Caenorhabditis elegans: one gene and its partners. The protein of the gene in region 4 purifies or fractionates together with the protein of the main gene of each other region. This does not show direct contact. Each region holds a gene or a part of one and is shown on either strand. Other genes may lie near its edges.

What was found.
Region 1: the proteins of C30G12.2 (region 4) and uroc-1 fractionate together in Caenorhabditis elegans (co-fractionation; one large-scale study listed by BioGRID). This does not show direct contact.
Region 2: the proteins of C30G12.2 (region 4) and try-14 fractionate together in Caenorhabditis elegans (co-fractionation; one large-scale study listed by BioGRID). This does not show direct contact.
Region 3: the proteins of C30G12.2 (region 4) and F48E8.3 fractionate together in Caenorhabditis elegans (co-fractionation; one large-scale study listed by BioGRID). This does not show direct contact.

The regions. Positions count from the first base shown.
Region 1 is NC_003282.8:16,536,462-16,544,754, forward strand, and holds the start of uroc-1 (putative urocanate hydratase), read right to left. Parts: upstream 6,289-8,293; 5' UTR 6,246-6,288; intron 5,907-6,245; exon of another isoform or gene 5,886-5,906; intron 5,863-5,885; 5' UTR 5,862-5,862; coding exon 5,736-5,861; intron 5,458-5,735; exon of another isoform or gene 5,433-5,457; intron 4,993-5,432; exon of another isoform or gene 4,966-4,992; intron 4,936-4,965; coding exon 4,664-4,935; intron 4,618-4,663; coding exon 4,476-4,617; intron 4,430-4,475; coding exon 4,301-4,429; intron 4,297-4,300; exon of another isoform or gene 4,276-4,296; intron 4,265-4,275; exon of another isoform or gene 4,244-4,264; intron 3,948-4,243; exon of another isoform or gene 3,927-3,947; intron 3,697-3,926; exon of another isoform or gene 3,676-3,696; intron 3,310-3,675; exon of another isoform or gene 3,289-3,309; intron 2,990-3,288; exon of another isoform or gene 2,969-2,989; intron 2,909-2,968; coding exon 2,616-2,908; intron 2,549-2,615; exon of another isoform or gene 2,528-2,548; intron 2,345-2,527; coding exon 2,003-2,344; intron 1,951-2,002; coding exon 1,829-1,950; intron 1,749-1,828; exon of another isoform or gene 1,728-1,748; intron 1,624-1,727; and 11 more.
Region 2 is NC_003284.9:7,492,941-7,497,741, forward strand, and holds try-14 (Peptidase S1 domain-containing protein), read right to left. Parts: upstream 2,652-4,801; 5' UTR 2,625-2,651; coding exon 2,526-2,624; intron 2,481-2,525; coding exon 2,374-2,480; intron 2,090-2,373; coding exon 1,963-2,089; intron 1,911-1,962; coding exon 1,766-1,910; intron 1,715-1,765; coding exon 1,599-1,714; intron 1,513-1,598; coding exon 1,420-1,512; intron 1,375-1,419; coding exon 1,321-1,374; intron 1,093-1,320; coding exon 994-1,092; 3' UTR 784-993; downstream 1-783. Other genes in the region: F48E3.2 (Major facilitator superfamily (MFS) profile domain-containing protein), read right to left, coding at 1-28, 80-145; uggt-1 (UDP-Glucose Glycoprotein glucosylTransferase), read right to left, coding at 2,989-3,156, 3,234-3,978, 4,031-4,549, 4,598-4,801.
Region 3 is NC_003281.10:5,459,658-5,465,306, reverse strand, and holds F48E8.3 (fumarate reductase (NADH)), read right to left. Parts: upstream 3,929-5,649; 5' UTR 3,892-3,928; coding exon 3,745-3,891; intron 3,339-3,744; coding exon 2,414-3,338; intron 2,056-2,413; coding exon 1,931-2,055; intron 1,548-1,930; coding exon 1,263-1,547; 3' UTR 925-1,262; downstream 1-924. Other genes in the region: F48E8.2 (E2F-associated phosphoprotein), read right to left, coding at 749-909.
Region 4 is NC_003280.10:7,288,232-7,292,453, reverse strand, and holds C30G12.2 (DeHydrogenases, Short chain), read right to left. Parts: upstream 2,029-4,222; coding exon 1,444-2,028; intron 981-1,443; coding exon 735-980; downstream 1-734. Other genes in the region: C30G12.6 (uncharacterized protein), read left to right, coding at 1-12, 54-179.

The DNA of each region.
Region 1 (8,293 bases), on a different chromosome or scaffold from region 4:
CCAACGACGAGCTTATTTTTCTCGGCTTCTTCTATCCATTTCTTGTTGTCCAAATATTGCTGTTTCACGTATTCGGGGACTGAAACGTTGGTTTAACAGAGTCTATGAAACATGATAAATGTGCTTTGAAATTTGGAGTTGGTGGTTTGATTTGCTCAGCCTTATTAAACTAGCAAAAAATAATGATTCGATTTTTGGTTCTCAAAATGAAAAAATCAATGTCTCTGCTAGAAACAGAAAGTTTCAAAACTTGGCAGCAGTGTGAGTATATTTCGGAATAAAAATAACAACCCAATTAATTTTCAGTGGTACCCATTCAAGAAGAAGACGTGGTGATTTTTTGCAAATTTTCTCAGAATTTTTAAGAGCGAATATTTGTTAAAGTTAAGGGTACCCATTTCAAATAATTCATTCAGGATCATAGTATTTTGAAGATAATAAAAAACATAATTTTTTACAAATTGTCTAATACAATACGTTACAAATTAAAATGCAAAGTTGGAAACAGTGAAAAATTCTCAAATTCAACTTGTTTTCAAACCGCATCTCCTATCTCTCGTTTTGGTATACTTGCTTTGCGGTCGACACTTTGTGAATTGTTCATCATGGTACGACATATCCCGGGTTTCCGGGAACGATGTTAATTTTTTTCAGCGGAAAAGACATTTTCGGTAGACTTTCAACTTTTCCAAGCATAAATTTGATAAATAACCTGATGAGTTCCCCTAAAACTACATGTTTCTACTCTTAAAGGTGGAGTACCGAAATTAGAGACTCTGTTTTTTTAGAACAAAATGAGCCCAAAACTACCGAATTTTGTGATGAGACGTTCTGAAAATTTCTTTAAAAAAAGTTATGAAGGTTCAAAGTTTTAGAAAATAAGGCCCATTTTCAGCTAAAATCGAAATTTTATCTAATTTCTCGGTGTTGCAACGTTTGGAATTGAATTTTTATTTATTCATCTCTTTTTAATAAATAATGTGGCCTTTGATTGGGCGTTTATTCGTTGATTTAAGTACATTTATGGTCAGTGAGGCACAAAATGTAACTTTTATTTGTGCCCCAAAGACCATAAATGTAGTTAAATCAACGAATAAACGCCCAATCAATGACCACAATATTTATTAAAAAGTGATGAATAAATGAAAATTCAATTCCAGACGTTGCGACACCGAGAAGTTGGAAAAAATTTTGATTTTAGCTGAAAATGGGCCTTATTTTCTAAAACTTTGAACCGTCATAACTTTTTTTTTTGAGAAATTTTCAGAACGTCTCATTACAAAATTCGGTAGGTTTGGACTCATTTTGGTCTAAGAAAACAGAGTCACTAATTTCGGTACTCCACCTTTAATATGTTATTTTTTAATTCAGCAAAATTAATAAAATAAAATAATCGAACATACTTTAATGACTATGCGAAATTGTAGAAGTTTTCTGCTTTTTTTTAGCAATATTTCCGGAATAACCTCTTTCAAAAAGCGAAAATTATATAAACTTCTCGAAACAGTACGCTATTTTATTTAGTAGTTATTTACGGTTTCAAGAATATTACACTGGCTATTCGTTTTTCTTTTTTTTTTTCAACAGCTTCACATCCCTAAATTTCCTAACAAATATTAAAAATTAAAGTCAAAATTCGTCGGCAGTTTTATGGACAATATGAAACAGCATATATATGATTTCTCGCCAACAAATGCTCAATTTTATGAGATTAGTACTAAATTTCAAAGATACACACACTGAACCCATCAAATTTCTCAAAATAGTGAACATACATATAGCCATAGTGAAACAGTCGATTTTTTTGTTACAACATAAAAGCACTCACCATCAGTATCCTTCAACTCATCAATAATCTTGCATGCTGTCTGATCAGTCAATCTCAAATCTTCCGGCTTTCCAGAAGTACAAACCCATCGGAATGGTCCAAATCCCATTGAAAAGATGTCTCTGAAACAGAATTTATTTTATTTAAATTGTACTCTTTTCAAATAATTATTACCCCATAATATCCTGCATATAACTTGGATATCTAAACGATTTATCATCCTGAGCATCCTCTCTGAGCAAATTGGCTCCAGCTCTCTGGCATTCCAAAAGGAAAGCATTACCGTAATCCCAGAAGTACATTCCCTTTGCAGCAATCTTGTCGATGGCGGCGATTTGGCGGATTAAAGAGTTTTGAACAAGTTTTTTGAATTTTACAGGATCAGAAGTCATCATTTGATTGGATTGTTCAAAAGTGAGTCCAGCAGGGTAAAAACCTCCAAGGAATGGATTGTGGAGAGAAGTTTGGTCACTTCCCAGTTCTACAAGACATTCCGGTTCCTCGGCGAGCCGTTCCCTGGAATTTTGAAAACTCATAGTTTTTTGTCTAGAATTTTTGTGAATAATGTTTTACCAAGTTTATTAATTGTGAAAAATCTTTGTAAAAAATTCTGTAATTTAAAAAAAATCTTGGTTCCGAAACTATGAGATATATTATTTGTATTACAATTTTTTCCGCTTTTCTCGTTTCCTTTAATTATTTTCCCTCTTGCTCCGTAGATCGCCTTTCACACTTTCATAAAAAAATTTAACAACTTTCTGAAACAGTAAAATTTTCTAAAACTCACCACAAGTCAACAACATTCCCCAAATATCCAATACTAATTGCCTCTTTTTTCTCTCTGTACTCTTTAATCCAATTCACAATTTCCTCAAGATCCTTCGAATATACATCCAACCATCCCTGTTGATGACGTTTCAACAATGCAGTATCACTAATTTCCGCAATAACTCCAATACATCCAGCAATCTTAGCTGCTTTTGGTTGAGCTCCACTCATTCCTCCAAGTCCTGCAGTTACGAAAACCTTACCAGCAAGGGAATCCAGTCCCATACGACGACCAGCGTTGAGGACTGTGATCTGGAGAATTTTTACTGTTTCAGGGGGTTCAGAAATTCAGGAGAGTTGTGATGAAATTAATCGGACAAGAAGAATAGATCGAGAAAAACTCATATAGTGACGTCACTATTTTTCTATATGGGTAGAAAAGCTGTAATCTGTTGCATCTGGTCTCGAATCATTTAGATTTCTTTAAAATATTATAAAGTGAAAAGACTTTCAACTTTCTGCTTCTAATAAGTCAATTTTGAAAAACCTTAAGAAAATTACGAAATTCAAATTAAAAAAAAATGTTATCAGTTCTGGTTCATTATGTAACTACTGAAAAAATAAAAATAAAATTTACAAAAATTTATTTTTTCACAGTTTCTACATATTTTAGGGCTTTGTAAGATAGCTATTCGACTCTATTTAAGGTGGAGTACCGAAATCTGAGATTTTGCTTTTTCCGACCCAAGATTCCCCAAAAACTACTGAATTTCGTAACGAGACATTTTGAAAATTTCTCAAAAAAAAAAGTTATGGCGGTTCAAAGTTCTGATAAAAAAGGTCTCATTTTCAGCTAAAATCAAAAATTTTGTCATCTTCTAAGTGTCTGGAACTAAATTTTTGTTAAATTATCACTCTTTAATAAATACTGTGGTTAGTTGAAGTAAGTAAATTTTTTCAGTGGGACAAAATATTATCAGCTTTGGTTCATTATGTAACTCTTGAAAAAAAAATTACAAATTTCAGAAATTTATTGTTTCATTGTGTCTACATATTTTAGGACTTAGAGAGTTAGCTATTAGGAAGGTTTTCAAGAGAACACCGCTATAAATTAAAGCAATATATCAAGTTTTCTTGACGCCACTTCTCTACTACTTTGGTGGAGTTTGGATTATAAAATAACTAGAATAATACACAAAAACTTAACAAAAATCATTCAAATACTATCTGAAACCGTTGTATACTGAAAACCTTCTGTGTAGCCCATATCCCAGAATAAAATTTACTGTTTCAGTGTGTTCATATATTCTGGCAGTAATAAGGTGTTTAATGCCAAAACTTCAGCTTTGGTTCATTATATAACTATTTAAAAAAAAAAATAAAATTTACAAAAATTTAATGTTTCACAGTGTCCGTATATTTTAGGGCTGAGTTAGTTATTAGAAATAACATGTTTTCTTTGAGTCACTTCTCTACTACATTGGTGCAGTTTGGATTATATAAATGACAAGAATCATATTCAGAAAAAAAAACAAAAATCTTGAAATCCTTGAATTTTTGCCTTTGAAATTCCATCTAAAACCGTTGTATACTGAAAACCTTCTGCTTTGCCCATTTTCCAAAATAAATTTGACTGTTTTAGTGTGTTCATTAAATTTGACGGTAATACGGTGTTTTAATGCCAAACTCCATTTAACGGCTTACCGTAGTCCCGTGTACAATTCCCTGTGGTCCAATATAACAGAAACTTCCAGCAGTCATTTGTCCGTACTGCGTCACTCCTAATGCAAAATACTTGTCGTACAGCTCCTTTGTCGAGTAGCTCGGGATCATCTGAAATGTCAAAATGTACGAAGCATCCTAGTTTCCAAAGGCCTACCATTCCATTAGTAACAGTCATTCTTGGCGAGTCCGGGGTTGATGGAAATAGGCCCAATGGGTGTCCGGAATAGAGCACCAAAGTTTGATGGTCAGTCATTGTGTAGAGGTAACGAAGAACCAGACGGAATTGGATCCAATTGCTGAAATATCATTTCTCAAGCATTTCAGAAAGATTCCCATGCTAACCTAAAAACTTGACCATTTCCTCCATAAGTCACCAATTCCTGTGGAAACTGGGCAACCCGCTTGTCCAAATTGTTTAGAATCATCAAAATGATAGCCGATGCTTGTTCGCAATGAGCTCCGATCTCCGAGACGGGCGGCGCGAATAGATCAAAGTTTGGCATGAACCGATACCCATAGATGTGTCCATAGGTGTTGAGCTCTTCAGCGAACTCGGTGGCTAGAAGGACGTGATGCTCTTTTGGAATGTAGCGGAGAGCATTGCGGACGGCGAGCTGGAAGAATTTTATAGTTGAAGCTGGTTGGGACCTGCATTGAAGTTCGAAACAATAAATTTTGGAATTCCACTTGTATTTTATCAAGTAAGTGAAACAGACTTTTGTAACTAATAGCCAACAGCTTTTCAGCTCCTAAATTAAAATTTGATCTGATTCTTGATCTTCTTGATTGTTCTTGATCTCGAAAACTACATAGCCTACCGACTTCAAAAACTGCTCCAAAATTGCAAAAAAATTGTAAATTTTGTTACAGTCTTCTCTTACTTTTTTCTGAACTAGAATTGGCACAACAACTTCATTCAATTAATTGGTATCTCCCAAATTGCGCCGAGCACAGAGAACACTGTGCAACCCGGGAGATGTCGGAACAATAAATTATAACATTGATCTCATTGCAAATAGTTTACCATAATTAGGAGTAGATTTGAAAAATTAAAGGTAAAAATGTTCACTGTTCCAAATATTGCATTTCAATTTGTAAAAAGTTCTATTAGTTAGTCAGTGTAGCATTTAAACTTCTTGATGCAACAAAAAAAAGCTAATTTTATTAAAAACTAGGCAAAAAATTTCAGAGTTTAGCCAAATTTTTCTAAAAAATTTGTTAGTTTAGGCTCATTTTCAGCCAACTTGTCAAAGATTATGTTTCACAGTCTTCTTTAAAGCGCTCAATGAAACAATGAAACTGTTTTTGCAGTTTCAAAAAATTCATTTGAAAAGAAAAAATTCCAAGTCAAGTGCCTAAACGTTTTTAATGAAACAGTACATTTTTTTTATCTTTTCAAAGATAAATTTATTACCATTTTCTCTGTCTGTGTAAGATTACACGGACGCTTTGGTGCGTGAGCCACATTCTTGGCACGTTGCTCCGTTGGATGCTCGAGGAGCGGAGAGAATGGGTCGACGAAGAGAGATGGGATGTTCATGCTGGAAAATTGAGTCTTCACAAACCGAGTCAACAGTATACGAAATTAGAAAAATCAACAGTAAAAACATTTTCTCAATGTGATGAAACAGTAATTTTTAAAAAATAAAATTTAAAAAAAAATTTCTAGAAAATTCTAGAAGTTACCAGATTTTTCTAAAAAATTCTTAAAGTTCCCACATTTTTCTAGAAAATTACAGAAGTTTATAGATTTCTCTGGAAATTTCTAGAAGTTTCCAGTTTTGTTCTAGAAAATTCTAGTAGTTTCCAGATTTTTCTAGAGCATTCTAGAAGTTTTAATACAATTTATTGGTATAGTTCATAAAATTGACAATTGCCGAATTCCAAATTTCGGTAAAATTTCGGCACTCATCAAAAAACTAACCTCAAAATTTGCCAACAAAACCGAACTTATTCTGATCAGCAATGAAAGATTTCTCGTGAATGTTCGACTTCTCCTCCCCCTTCTCCCACGTGGTATGTTCCTTCCCGCCCAATAGATCACCGCCATAAAATTCTCTGTTTTGATGATTCTCGTCTTCTGGTTCCAGGTTACGATCCTTGACGACGACGAAACGGTCGGATGATTGCATTTTTATTGGTTAGTTTCAAGGTGTGTGTGTGTGTATTTGGAAGAGAAAGATGATAAGATCTGAATGCAGAATCTCGCGATTGGGTAGAATTCGAAAATAGAACATTGGGACTTTAAAATTATTTATAAAATTAATTTTTTAGTTACTGTTTCCGCTAGTTGTTATAAATCGGTGATATATATTAAGAGTTTTATTGGAAACACAACTTTCAGAGCTTATAAATTTGACCGTTTCAACTAGTTGTTATAAAACTGCAATTTATTTGTTGCTTACTACCTACATCACATTTGTAAGTTAAAACTGTAAAACGAATTAAAATCTTTGGAAAAACAGTTTTTTCTGTTTTTTGTTTGTTTTTTGGTCCGAAGAATTTCGAAAAGAAATACCAAATTTTGCTTAAAGCATCCATAAAAAATTATAAAATAGAACATTGGATTTAACGCGAATTTAGTGGAAATTAACCGTGAGGCTATGAAATAAAAAATTACAGTTTCAGCTAGTTGCTATGTAGATGCAGTTTTATATTTCCTCACTGAAGCGACTAAAATTACAACATTTTGAATTCTTGCAGAATTTTTGAAATTGAAAAAAAATACAGGAGGAAGGTCTTACCAAAAAAAGTTTTTGATCAAAAATAAAAATAAAAAAGTTTTTTTTTTGAAATATAGTTTTCTTTTGGTTTTTGGCCCGAAAAAAAACAGAACATTTAAGAGAACAGTTCAGCACTTTAGTCCTCCAGGTGTGCTGCTGGACCACCAGGATTCTGAGGAGCTCCAGTACAAGATAGAGCTCTAGAAAATTATGTTTCTTACGGGAACACCCGAAACACGGGTCAAATTGACCGTGAGACTATCCAATTAAATTACAGTTTCAGCGTGTTCTTATGTACAACACGCTGAAACTGTAAATTTATTGGATAGTCTCACGGTATACCCAAACCACCTGCACAATTTTTACTTCAAGCTCAGAATCGCAAATTTGGCTCAAATTGAACGTGAGACTATAAAATAAAATCGCAGTTTCAACTAGCTGCTATGTACTAGTGAACATTCTTATTTCTCATTAATCTTTTTCTGATATTTGCTGTAAATTACAAAATGTCTTGTTAATTACAAAAACTAAGGTTTCCATGAAGGCGTTCAAATTCCCACCTGCCTGACCTTAAGGCGATCTCCGCCTGCCTCTTGCCTCAATACGCGCCTTATTCTAAAACATACACGAACTATTTGTTTTTTCATATCTTAATTTGATTTTCAACAAAATTATTGAAATGAGAAAAAAACGTAAAAATGCGATTCGAGGCAGGCGTCAGGTCCCTGAAACCGCGCCTACCTATTATGGAAGATCCAATTCTAATCCAATCCAAATATGGAATGTAAACGGCACTGCAAGTTTGTAATTAAATCACAATGTTTGAAAAAAAAAACAGATTTTTACAATTTGACAGTTTCAATTAGTTTTTATAAAAATGGCATTTGTTTTTGATTTAGTAAAAATCTTAGTAAAAGAACCAAAAAAAAAAACTACGAATTTTGTTTTAAACTCCCCGACTGAAAATTAAAATTCGTCCAAAAACAAAAAACAATACAAAAAATACTTTAGGTATGTTGCTGGACTACCAGAACATGACGGAGCTCCACTAAATTATGTTTCATCGGGAACATCCTAAAAATAAAAAAAAATTAAATTACCGTTTCAGCTTATGTACAAGAAATTTCTTTTTTTTGTTCGGTTGCTAACCCGACTTCTATCTTAACTATGAAATTAGTTTTTTTTTTCAATTCTTGCACCGTTTTTTAAGGTTTCAACTAGCTTTTATAAAAGTTTTTAAGACTTTTTC
Region 2 (4,801 bases), on a different chromosome or scaffold from region 4:
TGTTTGGATAGGCATTCGTATATCCCATCTTGAAATTTTGAATTGAAAACAAAAAGAAAAAAAAACTCGATGGTCTTACTTGAAAAATGGCAGTAATTGCAAGAACAGCAGATAATATGAGTAGTTTCCAATTGAGTTTTTGCATGTTGTCACTGGTTCTGAAACTTTTTCTGAAGAAGTGAATTTTCAATGAAAAAGAAACAACTTAAATAAGCCTTTTAACTACAAAATACTGAAAGAAAAAGCTGAGGAAATGGGCGAAACCAATGGGAAATTCATTTTCTATGGCAACACAGAACGTGTATAGTTGTAGCATAGAGTTCAAAAGAGCAGACATCAAAACGCACGGCTTCAAAGAATTTTTGAACAGACAACTCATTAATTAGAATAAGCTAAACACTTATTTATTTTCTACGTTTACTTAGTTTTTTGGGTAAAATTTTGGTAATTGTGAAGTATACCAGGTTCAAAAACATTTTGCAATACATTTTCCGTTCATTTCTTTATAAAACAATTATTTAATTAAAAACTGAAATTGATTTGTATTTCCATGCTCAAAAAACACTGATCCCGAGGATAATATGAACACAAAGGGTCACGGACACATTTTCAAAATGGTTAACATTTTTGGGCTAGGTATGTACTACACAAGTACCGAAATATAAAACATTCGAAGTAATGAGAAGTTCGTTGTTTCAAAAAAATAGAATGTTTCTTTTTCATTTTTTCTGCAACAAACATCTGATTGATTTTCAAACACAATTATTACACTAAAAGATTCTTGAAAAAGACCGATGTTCATTTAGGTTTTTGCAACAATTTTAATTGAAACCAAAGGATAGAATGAAAGATGCAAACGTAAGAATAGAAGTACAGAGCAAACACAAAATGTGCACACGAAAATCAATACGTTATAAGGGACCAACAAGTGTTTATTGCATCATAAAAACATTTATTTCAAAGGGAATGAAGAATGAAAAAGTGGAATTTAAATTAGAAGCATTTGTCCTGTGCTTCAAAAACGCTAGCCTTGTCCACATTCTCAATAGCATGGACAAATGTATTGTCGCTAAAGACAACAAATTGCATGGTCTGGAAATTGATAATATTGGAAATCCACATAATGGAGAAGATTATTTACTTTGCCCCTTGCCCCCCGTTTCTTTTAATCTCATATTTCCTCCCGAAAGTCCAAAAGATGAGAAATCAATCACCGGCGTATTTTGTTGTCTGATAAGATTCTCAACACTACAAAATGCGGTTTTTTATAAAGAATTTCTATTACGTAATGTATTCAGAATAATTGCTCGTTGATTTTACCTGAACTTCTGAGCAGTTGACAACCACCATTGTGCTGTTGTCTTCCTTGTCCATCTATAAAAATCATAAGTTTAAAGACAAAATAAGCGATAAGCCTACCTCACGCCCGTAGAGACCAGAAACAATTCCTACTTGAACATATTTATTGTTTTCTACATCCAGAACACATTCCAGTGGTGCTCCTATATCATCCTGAATTTGAACAATTACTTTTTATAAAAACTAAGTAATGCAAAGTTTGAAAGTGTGTATTTCCAAAAAACAACAAAAACGCTTACCCAGCAAACACGACCTGTAGAGTTACTGTTAACTTCTGAGAACATGAGATTTTCTGTGTCAGCGTGAACATCAAGATCCAATACTTGGACTTTGTGTGAAGTAGCGAAGTCTTCCACTAAAAATATAATAACTTATTTAGTAGCTACATAGTTTTGTAGTTACGAACCATCTTCCGTAGTTTCAAATCCAATCACTCTACATTTGGAATCTTGAAGATCCCTTGGCACAATTGTACGGTAAGTAGCATCAGTCAAGCTTGGTTTGAAGTTGAGCCGTGCAACTCTTGGTGGGTGTGGCTCCTTATCGCAAAACTATAAAAATAATTTCTCTAATAAGAGTTGCAAATACTAGAGTCTTTTTTACATGATCTTCATTAACCGCATCGATTTTCATCAGAGCCAAGTCGCCGTCAATTTTCACAGCAAGCATTGCTTTGTTCATGGTAGCAGAGGAATCCTTCTTTTTGATAATAGCTTGTGCAATAAGGTTCCTAAATAAATATTAAATTGCCTTCAAATAAAAATCCATTTCAGCGTTTCTTCTAAACCAACAGTTGCTATACATATATTTCTATAAACTATCTCTGGCATAGTTTCGTCTAAGTTTTCAATCGAAAATTGTCAGCACATTCCGCACAACAAGCCAATTCACGAATCTTTTGCGTAGTCGAATTCAGAGCAGAAAAAGTGTAAAATGTAAGAGACTATAATGCGCTATGTTCGTTCGTAAGCTTCTTATTTTGCTACGGGAATATTTAAAAATTTGAAACCATACTTTCTGGTGTCTGGGAAACATTTCGAGCTGGTTAGCACAACGGATGGAGACAAAAGAGTTCCCGTGCAAGTTGAGATATTCTTCAGTTTGGTATCCTTAGTGAGTACCTGAACATAAAACATAAAATTCGAAGCGAGTTGAGCAAGTCTTACCTTCACCAAGTACTGATGGCGTTCCCATTTTGCCGGGTCCGCAATGTACATTGAAAACACGAATGCAAGTAGAGAGGAAACGATGACCGCTCGAAACATCTTCTTTCGATCAAATGATTCGAATGAGGATTTGACCCGACGAGCATCGCATTGATATTGTTGTAATATCCGCTTTCAGAAAAATCAAGCAAATGCATTCTTTAATACACCCACACATCAAGAAAAAGAAAATATTTATTGGATAGAGAGAGGCAAAAAAATGTTTCAAAGATTCATCACAAGTTTGACAATATTTGAAAATGAAATTTTGAAAGCTCTCATAGTCAAAAGCTAAAAAATAAATAGCAGAAAAAGCGAATCGACTGATTTGGAAAAAAATATACCCAGAGTTTTGAATATCATAATGGTGATTGGAAACATTTTCAATAAATAACGGGTAAACTTGGCATATGAAAAGATTAATTTAAAGTTCCGTGTGAGAGTCATCATTTTCAGAAATGACATTATCCGAAGGGTTATCAGAAGAATGTCCAGAAATGACTTCCCGGATTTCGTCATCATACGTTTTCCATTCTCCAATAATTCTGGCGGCTGAGTCGAGCTTTGGCTCTTTTGTGAGCGGGTTGTTGCACTGAAAATTGTTAATTGTTCACGGAAATTTAAAACAGATCAATGGCACAGCATTTCAGTTGTGTTCAATCAACTTACCAAGTCAATAGTCTTTGCATTCTTCTTGCTTCCATCATCGCACCAAGTCTCACACCAAAGCCACTCTTGTGGAAGCGATTTGATCTTAACCTGATGGATCATGTTATTTGGCAAGTCTTGATCCAAGTTAGCCAGACTGTTTGGATCGCCAGATAGTCCTTGATATTGTCCACGAAGACGATCTCCGGCAGCGATTTGACGGAACTTTTGAAGATCAATAACGTAGAGAGCACTAATGTGATATCTTCTCCCAGCGAGATGGTTCGCCCAATATCCTTGCTTCCAGAATCGGAATCCGTCCATCTCCTTTCTACTTTCACAGAATGGCACATATCCGTATGGCGCATTTCCAAGATCAAACTTCATCAGCTCCATCAAATCAGCACGCACCACCTGGTCAGCGTCCACAAAGATCACCTTTTGAACATCAAGTGGGAAGAGTACATCAAGGAAAAGAATCTTGAATCCCCACATAATACGTTGTTTCTCCTTCTGCTGGTGAAGCCACCTTGGCCACTTGTACTCGATCAGTTCATACTCGAAACCATAGTGCTTGGCAAGAGTTGGAAGTGTCTCTTTGAATTGTGGCGACAGGTAGTTCTTGAGAAGCCAGAATTTAACTGGATGCTTCGTGTTCTTCATGACCGAGACAATCATGATTCTCATGAACCGTTCGTACAAGTGACCGGATGCGAGAGAAAATACATTGATCACTTCCTGGGTTTTTTCTTTGCTGCTCACCAAGCTGAAAATAACATTATGAGATTATTTCAAAAGAGTTTAAACAAAATGCTTACTTGCTAAGACTGCTCCAAACACCTTCTTCATCGTCGGAAAGAAGATTTCTCTCCTCCATGCCTTCACGTTTTTCAACACGAACTCTTACTGATTTACCAGTGAATGAGTCAATAACAACTTGAAGCACATCCTCCCCAATCTTCTCCGCTCCAACATGCGATCCAATCTTGTAAATCTCACTAGATTTTCCATCACGGATCTCTAGTTTCCAAGCACCAGGATTTGCTTTAAGTTGGAAATATCCTAAATTAGCCATAACGATTGTATCAAATTGTTTAGGGTTCTTGTCCGTTCCCAAAGTGAACTGCAGACCGCGTGGTGGTTGACCACTAACTTCGTCGAAACACTGTCCATCGAGAAGTAAGTGTTGGAGTGCAAACTCGGCAGTGACATCTCCGTTGGCTTGTTCCATCTTGATGTTATCCAAATCATACTTGGCAGAAACGGCTTCCACTATCCATGAGTCGGGAGCTTGCAGCGAAAGTGTCAGAAGTTGCTTACTGGGAAGATTATCGAACCTGAAATTGTGAAATTGAAATTGGTTTTATTAAATAGAAAGTATTCACCTGACAACATTTGTGTTCAAGTTTCCATTGTGATCGAAACTCAATTCAGAAGCAGCAGCGTATCTGTAGAATCTCTTCAACGGAAGTTCAGAGTGCTTATCTTTTGGATTCATCACAATTTTGATTTCGCAGTTTGTAACCTTTTTAATCAAATGGAGAATCGATCCGAGTTTTTGTGCTTCCATAGTGAGTGGATCAACAACG
Region 3 (5,649 bases), on a different chromosome or scaffold from region 4:
ACAGTTCGATAGGAACACGGAAATTCCAAAAAAAAATTAGAAGTAGAAAGAAAACCGGGCTCGTAAATTGACACGACGGTTTTGGCGGGAAATTCAAAATATCAAATCGGAAATTTTCTATAAAAGTACAAGTGTTTTTGTGTATTGGTTTTTTGATCTCGCGTGTGTATTGGGAGTGTTCTTTAAACGCCTATCAATAGGCTTCAGAATTGATGAATGAGGACTTCCCTCTCTTATATCTTCATTATTTCTTCACTTATCTCTGACGCACTTTTTCGACAAAGTTTATCTTAGATTAGAAATATATTACATGAATGATATCAAAGGACAATGTTCTCAACTGAATTTGTCAGAAACATTTCCCGAATCGGACTAGATTCGCCTAGGAATACTGTGTTTGTTTGATCAGCGGGATAGTTTTGAAATAAAACTTGATTTTTCGATGAAGTAGGGATATTTCTCAAAAATGATTTTCTATTGAACCAACATATTAAAATTTAGCTACAGTAACCAAAAAAGGTCGTTTTCTTTGAATACTTCTGCATGGAGTACTGTAGCAAGAATTTCAGCTGCGTCGGGGATTACTGCTACCGTAACCTGCGAGCGGTGTCTGATTTTTTTAAAAGGTGGAAACTTAGAAATTCATGTGATTTTAGTGAAAAATAGTTTTTTTTTCCAAAATTTTTACGCTGTGCATTTCCTTTTTTTGGCATTGATTACAATTTCTCCCATTTTCCAGTGTATTTACCTCACATCATCCTCTGAATCAAAAACTTCATCCCCAACAGCTCCACCGAGATAATAATCATCATCCATTTTTTCAAAAGCAAGTCTACGCATCGTTGCTGCGGTCACTTCATCTGCTGGATATTGGTCATCGAACGTCTCATCGTCATCGTTGATCATCATCGTCTGCCGCTTCTTCTGAAAATAAAACACATTTATTACCCAAAAACACACCACAATACGAAGAAGGAAACACGATAAATACGAGAGAGTGTGAAAATGAAGAGAAAATGAGAAATAAATATATGTGTAGAAGAACCCATAAAGATGCAAATCACAAGAAAAATAAAAATGCTGAATAGAGTAGTAGATATAATAAAAACATATAAAGTTGGTTGGAACTAGTAAATGAATCATTATCTACAGGGGTCCGGGAATCCCGGATCGCGAAAAAATGTTTTTTTTAACTGAAAATTTCTGAATTATACTGTAGAATTGAGCCACAAAACTGAGTTTTTTCTGTAAAAATATTCGAATTAGAGCTCGGTACGAGTCTCCGCAGCAGATTGAGCCGCAGATTTTCCAGCAATTCTGCCAAACACCACACATTCAAGCAGGGAATTTCCAGCCAATCGATTGGAACCATGAACTCCGCCAGTGACTTCTCCAGCGGCAAAAAGGCCGACAATTGGCTTGCCATGCTCATCGATGACGCGGGTGGCCTCGTCGATTTTCAGGCCACCCATGGTGTAGTGGATTGCTGGGACGACGATTGCTGCGTAGATTGGCTCAGTCGGAGAGATTGCAGACACTGGGAACACCTGGAAATGGGAAATTATTACAGTTTCGGTATTTTTCGGCTAATTCCGATGCAAAAATAACTTTGTTTTTACAGTTTCGATATTTTTTTTTGCTGAACGATATTTTTTTAATTTTGAAAAAAAATTTAGGCTTGGGAAAGTTTAAATTGAAAATAGATCGTCAAATATTCGGGGAAAGATTTTCTCGATATTTTTCAACGTTTTACTCAAAGTTTCTAATAATACAATTTCAGCACAATTTTTCCTAAATCTATGAATTTTAGTTTTTCTTTCACTTTTCTGATTTTATAAAGTCTGTTTTAAAAGTAAATGCAATTTTGATCAACTTTTCAGAATTCTTAGTCATTTTTTCAAGAATTTTAAAATTAAAAATATTTGAATACCTTTTTGCCGAAAGGATCTTCAGATTTTCCATCAAAACTCTTCTGATATTCCTCCAAAGTGGTTTTAATAGCTGATTCGTCGATACCCAAAGCCTTTGCAAGCTCCGCGGAGTTCTCGTATTTCGCTGAAAAAAATCAGATTTCAGAGCAATAATACAATTTTCATAATATAAAACTAAAAATTAAAAAAATTAATTTGAAAAAGGGAATTTTTAAAAATTTCAGAAATTCCGGAAAAAAAAATTAGTTTTGGATTTAAAATGCTTTTAAACTCCAAAAAAAAGGAAGCTGATAAAATTTTCGACAAAAAAATCTTTAAACTGGGAATTTTTAATACGAAGATTTTGTCGAACTTATTCTCGAGAAGTGTTAATGGATTTCGAAAAAAAAAATGAAATTTGAAAAAAATTGTTTGGGATTTTTCAAATAACAAACAACTAATTTAAAAAATGTTTTCCAACTTTTTCACAGAAAAAAACCTACCAAAGAATTTCTTAACAATCGAATAAAAATTGAAAGCAGGTCTGCCAAAAGCCTCAACATTTGCTTCATTCATAATCATAATCGCCGCATTTCTTCCAGCAGATCCTCCTTGGAAACTCTCTTCAATTGGCTCAGCGAGCTCAAGAATCTTTCCAGTTAAATAATCGCGTCTTCCCAACTCATTTCCAAATCTTTGTCCCTTTGAGTTAATAAGCAGAGCTCCTTTTCCACGAATAGCCTCAGCCGCCAGGAACTTTGTTCCTGCTGATGGATCTTTTGGATCTACAAACGCTGTAGGATGAATCTGAATATTTTCCATTCCAATAATCTTTGCTCCAAGAGCTCTCGCAATTTTCACACCATCTCCTTTAGCGAATGCTCCATTTGTTGTTGGGAATCCGAATATTTCAGCTCCAAATTCCTTGAGCAAAGTTTCATCAGCAGAGAATCCACCGGTTGCAAGGATTACAGCGTCTCCGATGATCTTTGATTTCTCTCCAGAAGCTGATGTTACAATCTCGATTCCCGATACTTTTCCATTTTCTCTCAAAATTCCAACCATTTTAGTCTGAGTCAAAAGCTTGAAGGCTTCTGGATTCTCCGATTGCTTCTCATTAAGCCTTGTTCTCAATCTCTTCATAATTTCGAAACCAGCTGGTATTGGTCGTCCTTCCTTTGGAGATGGAATCCAATGAGTACGTGGTACAGAATGCCCACCACATAGATTCACATCAGTCAGATCCACTTCAACTCCACGCAGAAATTCAACAGCATCTGCTGAATTAGCAGCCAGAATTTCCACAAGTTTCTTGTCATTTTCAGAGTCTCCTGCACTCAGAGTGTCCTTGACAAGAAGTTCCGGCGAATCTTTGATTCCCAGTTTCTCCTGAGTTTCGGTTCCAGCACCGTTGATTCCGCTGGATGCCTGGAATATTTTTTTCAAGAAGTGAGGATATTGGACACTTTTTTTAAAAATCACCTAGACTTACTAAAACATTTTACTGTAATTTGGCATACTTAATTTTGAAATTTTTCAGAACGAGAATTTGTTACTCTTTTTTTTTATTTCCAGCTTTTTCACACGATTTAACTGTTTTTAAATTTGAAAATTTCTTACAATCGAAATTTTTTAATTTATCATATTTTTTCAGAGACGTTTCAGTTTTAAAGGAAAAAAAACAGAATATTATTTTTTTTCACAATTTGCAACTAATAGTAAAATAAATAACTTTTTCAGAAATTTGGAACAAAAAAATGCGAGAAAATAAATTTTAACAATCGATATTTCCAGAAGTTAAATAGATTTTTTTCAAAAATTCGCAAGATCTTACCTTCGCTGAATTTCCACCAGTATTTCCCTCTCCCTCTACCAAAATCACACGTCCACCTCCATTGATAATATCCAGTGAAGCAGACAGCCCGGCGAGCCCACCTCCAACAACAACGACAGTTGGCTCAGCATGAAGCACAGAAGCCATAACTGTAAGCGAAATGAGCACCCGAATCATCAAATGTCTGTCAATGGGGAAATTTCAACAACGGACACAAAGGGAAATTATAGAAAATGATAGAAAATTGGTTAAAACCGCCGAAAAAATTAGACAGAATTATTTTTTAAAAACCCATTATTTATGGAATGTCTAACATAGGAGAAAAACCGAAAAAAAGGGAAAATATAAAATAAATTAAAGCTGATTTTTGAATAAATATATTCACATGGATAAGGCATCTGGGAAGCATGAAAAAAAAGTGATGGGGAAAAACAATCAATAATTCATAACCGTAACTATTCACATTTACTTTTGATCTAGTAGTATCGATACTACAGTGCTCCACATAATGATACGGCCACCCCAAATTTTGGTATAACTCAAAACTGGGTTGAGATAGCAAAACATAGTTTCTTGTGAAAATGTTCGCTGTACTAACTTACTTTCAGATAAGTATTGGAAATATACCTGAACCGTTTGTAAAAAAGATAAACCATTTTTTCATGAAAAACCATATTTAAAAAATCCACAAAATGATACGGCCACCCTTGGTTTTCGTTTTCTTTTTTCGTTTTCTTTGCAATTTTTTTTGCTAAACGTTAAGTTTCATGTTCGTTTGTGTTTTTACAGTTATGGGTCGTGGAATAACTTCAACTGACTGCGAAAAAGGACAAATTGTGCCAAATTATCTCAAGGCTTCTCGAATCGTCAGATTTTTCGTGATTTGGAAACTTTCGAGAGATATGATCACTCGATATGCTTCCAATCCTGCCGCTTATTGCACAAAAAAGTCTTCTGGTCGCACACCTTTTCTTTCTGTCAGACCCAAAAAAAAAACCGTTCGTCGAGCATCCAATTGAACAGTGACTTGCTCGAAAAGTAGGAGCGAGATGAACCTGGCAGTGTCTGTTGAGGCCGTACGACATGTCCTTTTGAAGTCTCAGTTTAACAAAAGACGAAAATTAAGAAAGGCTCCATTCATTACCAAAAAACCGCCAAAACCGTATTCAGTTTGCTAAAATCAGTCAGGGAACTAACTGAAGACAAGTGAGGATTACGGTATAATCATTCAAGCCCAGTTTTTGGTTTCAGTTCATCTTCAGTGACGAGAAAAAGTTTAACTGTAATGAACCAGATTACTACCGTGATTAGTGGCACGATTTGAGAAAAGAAAAGATGAACTGAAACCAAAAACTGGGCTTGAATGATTATACCGTAATCCTCACTTGTCTTCAGTTAGTTCCCTGACTGATTTTAGCAAACTGAATACGGTTTTGGCGGTTTTTTGGTAATGAATGGAGCCTTTCTTAATTTTCGTCTTTTGTTAAACTGAGACTTCAAAAGAACATGTCGTACGGCCTCAACAGACACTGCCAGGTTCATCTCGCTCCTACTTTTCGAGCAAGTCACTGTTCAATTGGATGCTCGACGAACGGTTTTTTTTTTGGGTCTGACAGAAAGAAAAGGTGTGCGACCAGAAGACTTTTTTGTGCAATAAGCGGCAGGATTGGAAGCATATCGAGTGATCATATCTCTCGAAAGTTTCAAATCACGAAAAATCTGACGATTCGAGAAGCCTTGAGATAATTTGGCACAATTTGTCCTTTTTCGTAGTCAGTTGAAGTTATTCCACGACCCATAGCTGTAAAAACACAAACGAACATGAAACTTAACGTTTAGCAAAAAAAATTGCAAAGAAAACGAAAAAAGAAAACGAAAACCAAGGGTGGCCGTATCATTTTGTGG
Region 4 (4,222 bases):
GATAGTTTTGAGGTATATTGTGTCCACACTATCTATTCTAAATTTGGTAGTAGCTTTTCCAGTATGTCCCGAAATCTACACGAACACGAATAAGACCAACAGTGAACGTCGAGGAGGATCAGAATATCAAAACCGAGATTGAAGACAGCGACGATCTAGAAGATTCATTTGAGTTATAGCATGTATAATAATTTTCATTTTGTTGCCTTAATCATGTAAAATAAGATCTTGTTTAATTTCATAAAATCCCTTTTTATTCAAATTTTAATAACACATATTTCTGCATTTGCAAAGTATACCCTAAATCTATAATTCCTGCTTTTCCCACGCTTGATGTGTAAATCCCATAATCCCATCCATTGTCGGGCGTTCTTCATTCATTCAGAGTTGTTGACTGACATCATCACAACGTAATTCCAGACATTCCTAAATCAGTCTGATCAATGTGGACAACATAGTGCTCTTTAGAGTTTAAGGTCACAAAAGATGAAAACATCATTTTTGCAGCTTCAAAGATCTCTTTATTTTATTGCTCACAACAAAAGGCGGGTATTACGTCAATGGGGGGGGGGGGGGGGGGGATAAACTGGAGTTTTTTGGTGTGGAAGCAAAATTAAATTCTCCGAATTACAAGAAAAAATTCTAGCTTTTGCATCTTAAACAAAACAAATTCAAGATTATCACCGATATCGGATGCAAATACGAAGAACAAAATGTGCTTTTTAGAAATGATATCAGTTTGGAATTGGATGCAAGAATCTGTCAAAGTACAACCCATTGTTACGATTATCGAGTCGAAGAATGTTTGCAGAAAGTGTTTTAGTTGATTCATTGACATCCAAATCAGCATTATCACCTCCCATATCAGTACGGACCCATCCTGGACAGAATGAAGTGACAAGAATATGATATTTAGATAGTTCCATGAATGATTGACGCGCAAATGCATTCAGAGCAGATTTACTCATTCGGTATGCGGTCTGAAAAATTATGGATCGGTCAATTTTTGGTTTTTGTACATTTTAAATTCGCGCGCTGAGCAGAATGGTGCCGACCAATGAGCGCCGTTAACCACGCCCACCCTAGTCGCTGATTGGTCAAATATCTAATTTATTTGAAGTAAATTTGATACTGAAATAGATTTTTGAATATTTTTGGTATTTTGAAACTAATGGTTTTGCAATTTTGGATTTTTCAAACTTTACAGTTAACGTTTACGTTAAATGCAAAAATTAGAAAAAATTGATCTATTAGGATGAAAATGGACGAGAGAAAAAATTTTTCGTTGATTTCCTACTTATATTTGAAAAGTAAGTACCGTCATTTCTTGACTGTTAACTAAAAAATAATAATGAAAAAATTTCTGAAAGGTTTCACTATACATTTGGACATAGGAGTAATTGAAACAGGCAATAACTGTAAATGAAAAAAAAAAAACAATACCATAGGACCATCAAAGCATCCATTGTTCATTTCAATTGATGCCATTGTAGATGAAATGTTAATAATAGATGCTCGATCAATACTTGCTTCATCTCCTTCTGCAGCTGATGCAGCTGTCTTGATCAATGGAAGGAATATTTGAGTTAAAATTGCAACAGACACTGAATTAGTTTCCAATTGTTTCATCATCGTTTTTCTACAGATCTTTGGACCATCCACTTCATATGGAAGAAGTATTCCAGCATTGTTGATAAGCATATTAAGTCCATTTGATGATACAAGTGAAGATACTTCATCGAATACTTTCTTGATGGATTCATCATCATCTACATTCAATGCAATTACATGAAGTCTTCTATCATTTTTCAATGCATTCAGTTCATCTGCTTTCTCTGGGTTTCTGCACGTGGCAATAAGAAGTTCAATTCCATCATATTCCAGAAAATGTTTGACAAGTCCGAATCCAATTCCACGATTAGCTCCAGTTATCATAATATTCTTAGGGAATCGTTGGGGCCTACTCTCAACTTCTGGATCCGCTACGTCAGCCATTTTTAGATTGCCTTTCAGCTCATAGTTTGGCATTGTTGAGAACTTAGAATAATGAAGAACAAAAAATGAATAGAAAAGTTTGATTTTCCAATGCGTTTATCATCTATTTATATAGTCTGAAATAAATTGGTATGTGGAAAGTTTCAATACGTCGTGATTGACAAGAGAAATGTTTATCTTTAACATTATAGTAATCGGATGAAAAAAAGTCTCTAAACTAAACTGATGTCTGATTTCGCATAGGCCAAAGTATGCTCTTTTACACAGAAAAAAGAACAAATAGAACTATTAATCTAAACTATCAAACAACTGACAATTGATAGTGCATGGAATATGAAACTTCTATCAAAAGTGCAAGTATTTTCTCCCAGTCGCAAAACAAATTGACATGTTAATGGCACTTCTTTACAGTTGAGTGCTTCTGATAAAAGTGCACAATTAATCATTTTAACGAGTGCACAACTAAAAACATTGTTTCAGTTAATGAATTTTCCATCATCCATATTGACAACAAAAACAGATACAAGTGAATTCAAGGGCTGCTGTCATTTTTTAAATTACAAATTCTACTCTACTTCAGAAATTTTCATGAGAATTATGGGATAAGACTGTTACGTCGATCGTTCTCATTTTTTAAGACCAGACTCTGGCGGGCTCTTTGTCGGAAACTTCAGCTTCAAAACTAAATTTGGATAACATTTCTTGTTTCTCATAACATGGTACACATATACTCTACTCTCATGCACATAAATGTAAAAAATAGGCATTGAGCACAGGTTGTCAATGGATTTGCACGCAATAAGTACGTTAGGGGTTTTTTGTTTTATTTTTGGGGAAAATCGGGTTTTGAATTCGTTGTTGTTATTTATTTGTTCCAGACTGCTTGAGCTGTCATCACTGGTTATCATTAACTCATATCATAATTCCAATTTCAGCCAGACAACGCCTCAATTGTACCGCGGTCACTTCATTCTGAAATTACAAATCATGGGAGTAAATTAATGTTTTGACCAATAGACATTATCACACGACTAGAAAATCACAAATCAAAAGGTTCTACATAAGTGACGAGTAGCTATTTCTTACTATTAGTATACTGTAGACGTAATTGGTTCATATTCTTGTCTCTTTCTAATCATATATCCTGTCATACTATCTTTGCATTTAACTAAATACAAAGTTTCACCACGTGAAAAATCCAATCAAATTGATTTTTGCCCGATCTTCCGAACTGTCAAGTTTTGATCCGTCATTTCTCAGTGTGTATTTTTTGAGTCAAAAAGCAAATAAACAGAATAGTCATCATGTCCACCCTTTATTCGATTAGTTCTTCCAAACCCCACGTCACTTTTTGTGTTGAGACACAGAATTCGTTCTGCTTTGAATTTCGAAATGTTTCGCTACAAGAGAAGAAGTCGTTTGTTTATTCATCCAACGTCGAGAACGGAGTTCCCCAGCGGATTTTCTCTAAAAATTTGAATCTCTGACTAAACATCCTGAGCTGAATTTGAATGACTTTGTGGAGACTAAACTGCAAAATTTCTGAATGAAATTATGGAAATAGAAAAACAAAAGTCAATAATTCTAAAACCGTAAAGAAGAAGAAATCTCGATTTTATGATGTGATGTTTTTTCTAAAGGTGACATCCTTATAGTCTACAAAAAAGTTGTTAAACATGAAAACTCAGTATGAGCCATAATTAAAAAAATGTTCAGACAAAACCAAATTTCGAAACGTTTAATTTGTTAGTTAGAGTGGTTGAAAAAAGGAGAACTTTAGAATATATATCTCACTTTTAAAATCTAAGAGTTTCAAGAAATTTGTGTATTTCTAACTTACGGATTTGAGCAATTAATGATTCGAATTTAGGAGGCGAAGAAACATAGCTAACTAACGAAGAATGTATTTTAGCTCACGCAACCTAAAAATCATCTCAACCAGCAAAAAGATGCACATTTGGAGCAATTTTGCTGACCTCTAAATTAGTATCAAAAATTAACTGAAAAATGTTCAGAACAACTGTTTCCAAGTTCAAAGTGCAAGCCCATTTATAGTCTATATTCAATACAGATATGAGCATCTTTTTGCAAAAAACTTGCAAACTTTCAAAACTATAATGGACATCTTTATACATTTAAATTTTTTAAATTCATAATTTCTAGACATCGCTTGCCATCCCTTTTTGATCTGTAAAACCTTTTAAGAAAATCAGCATCAAAATGTGCT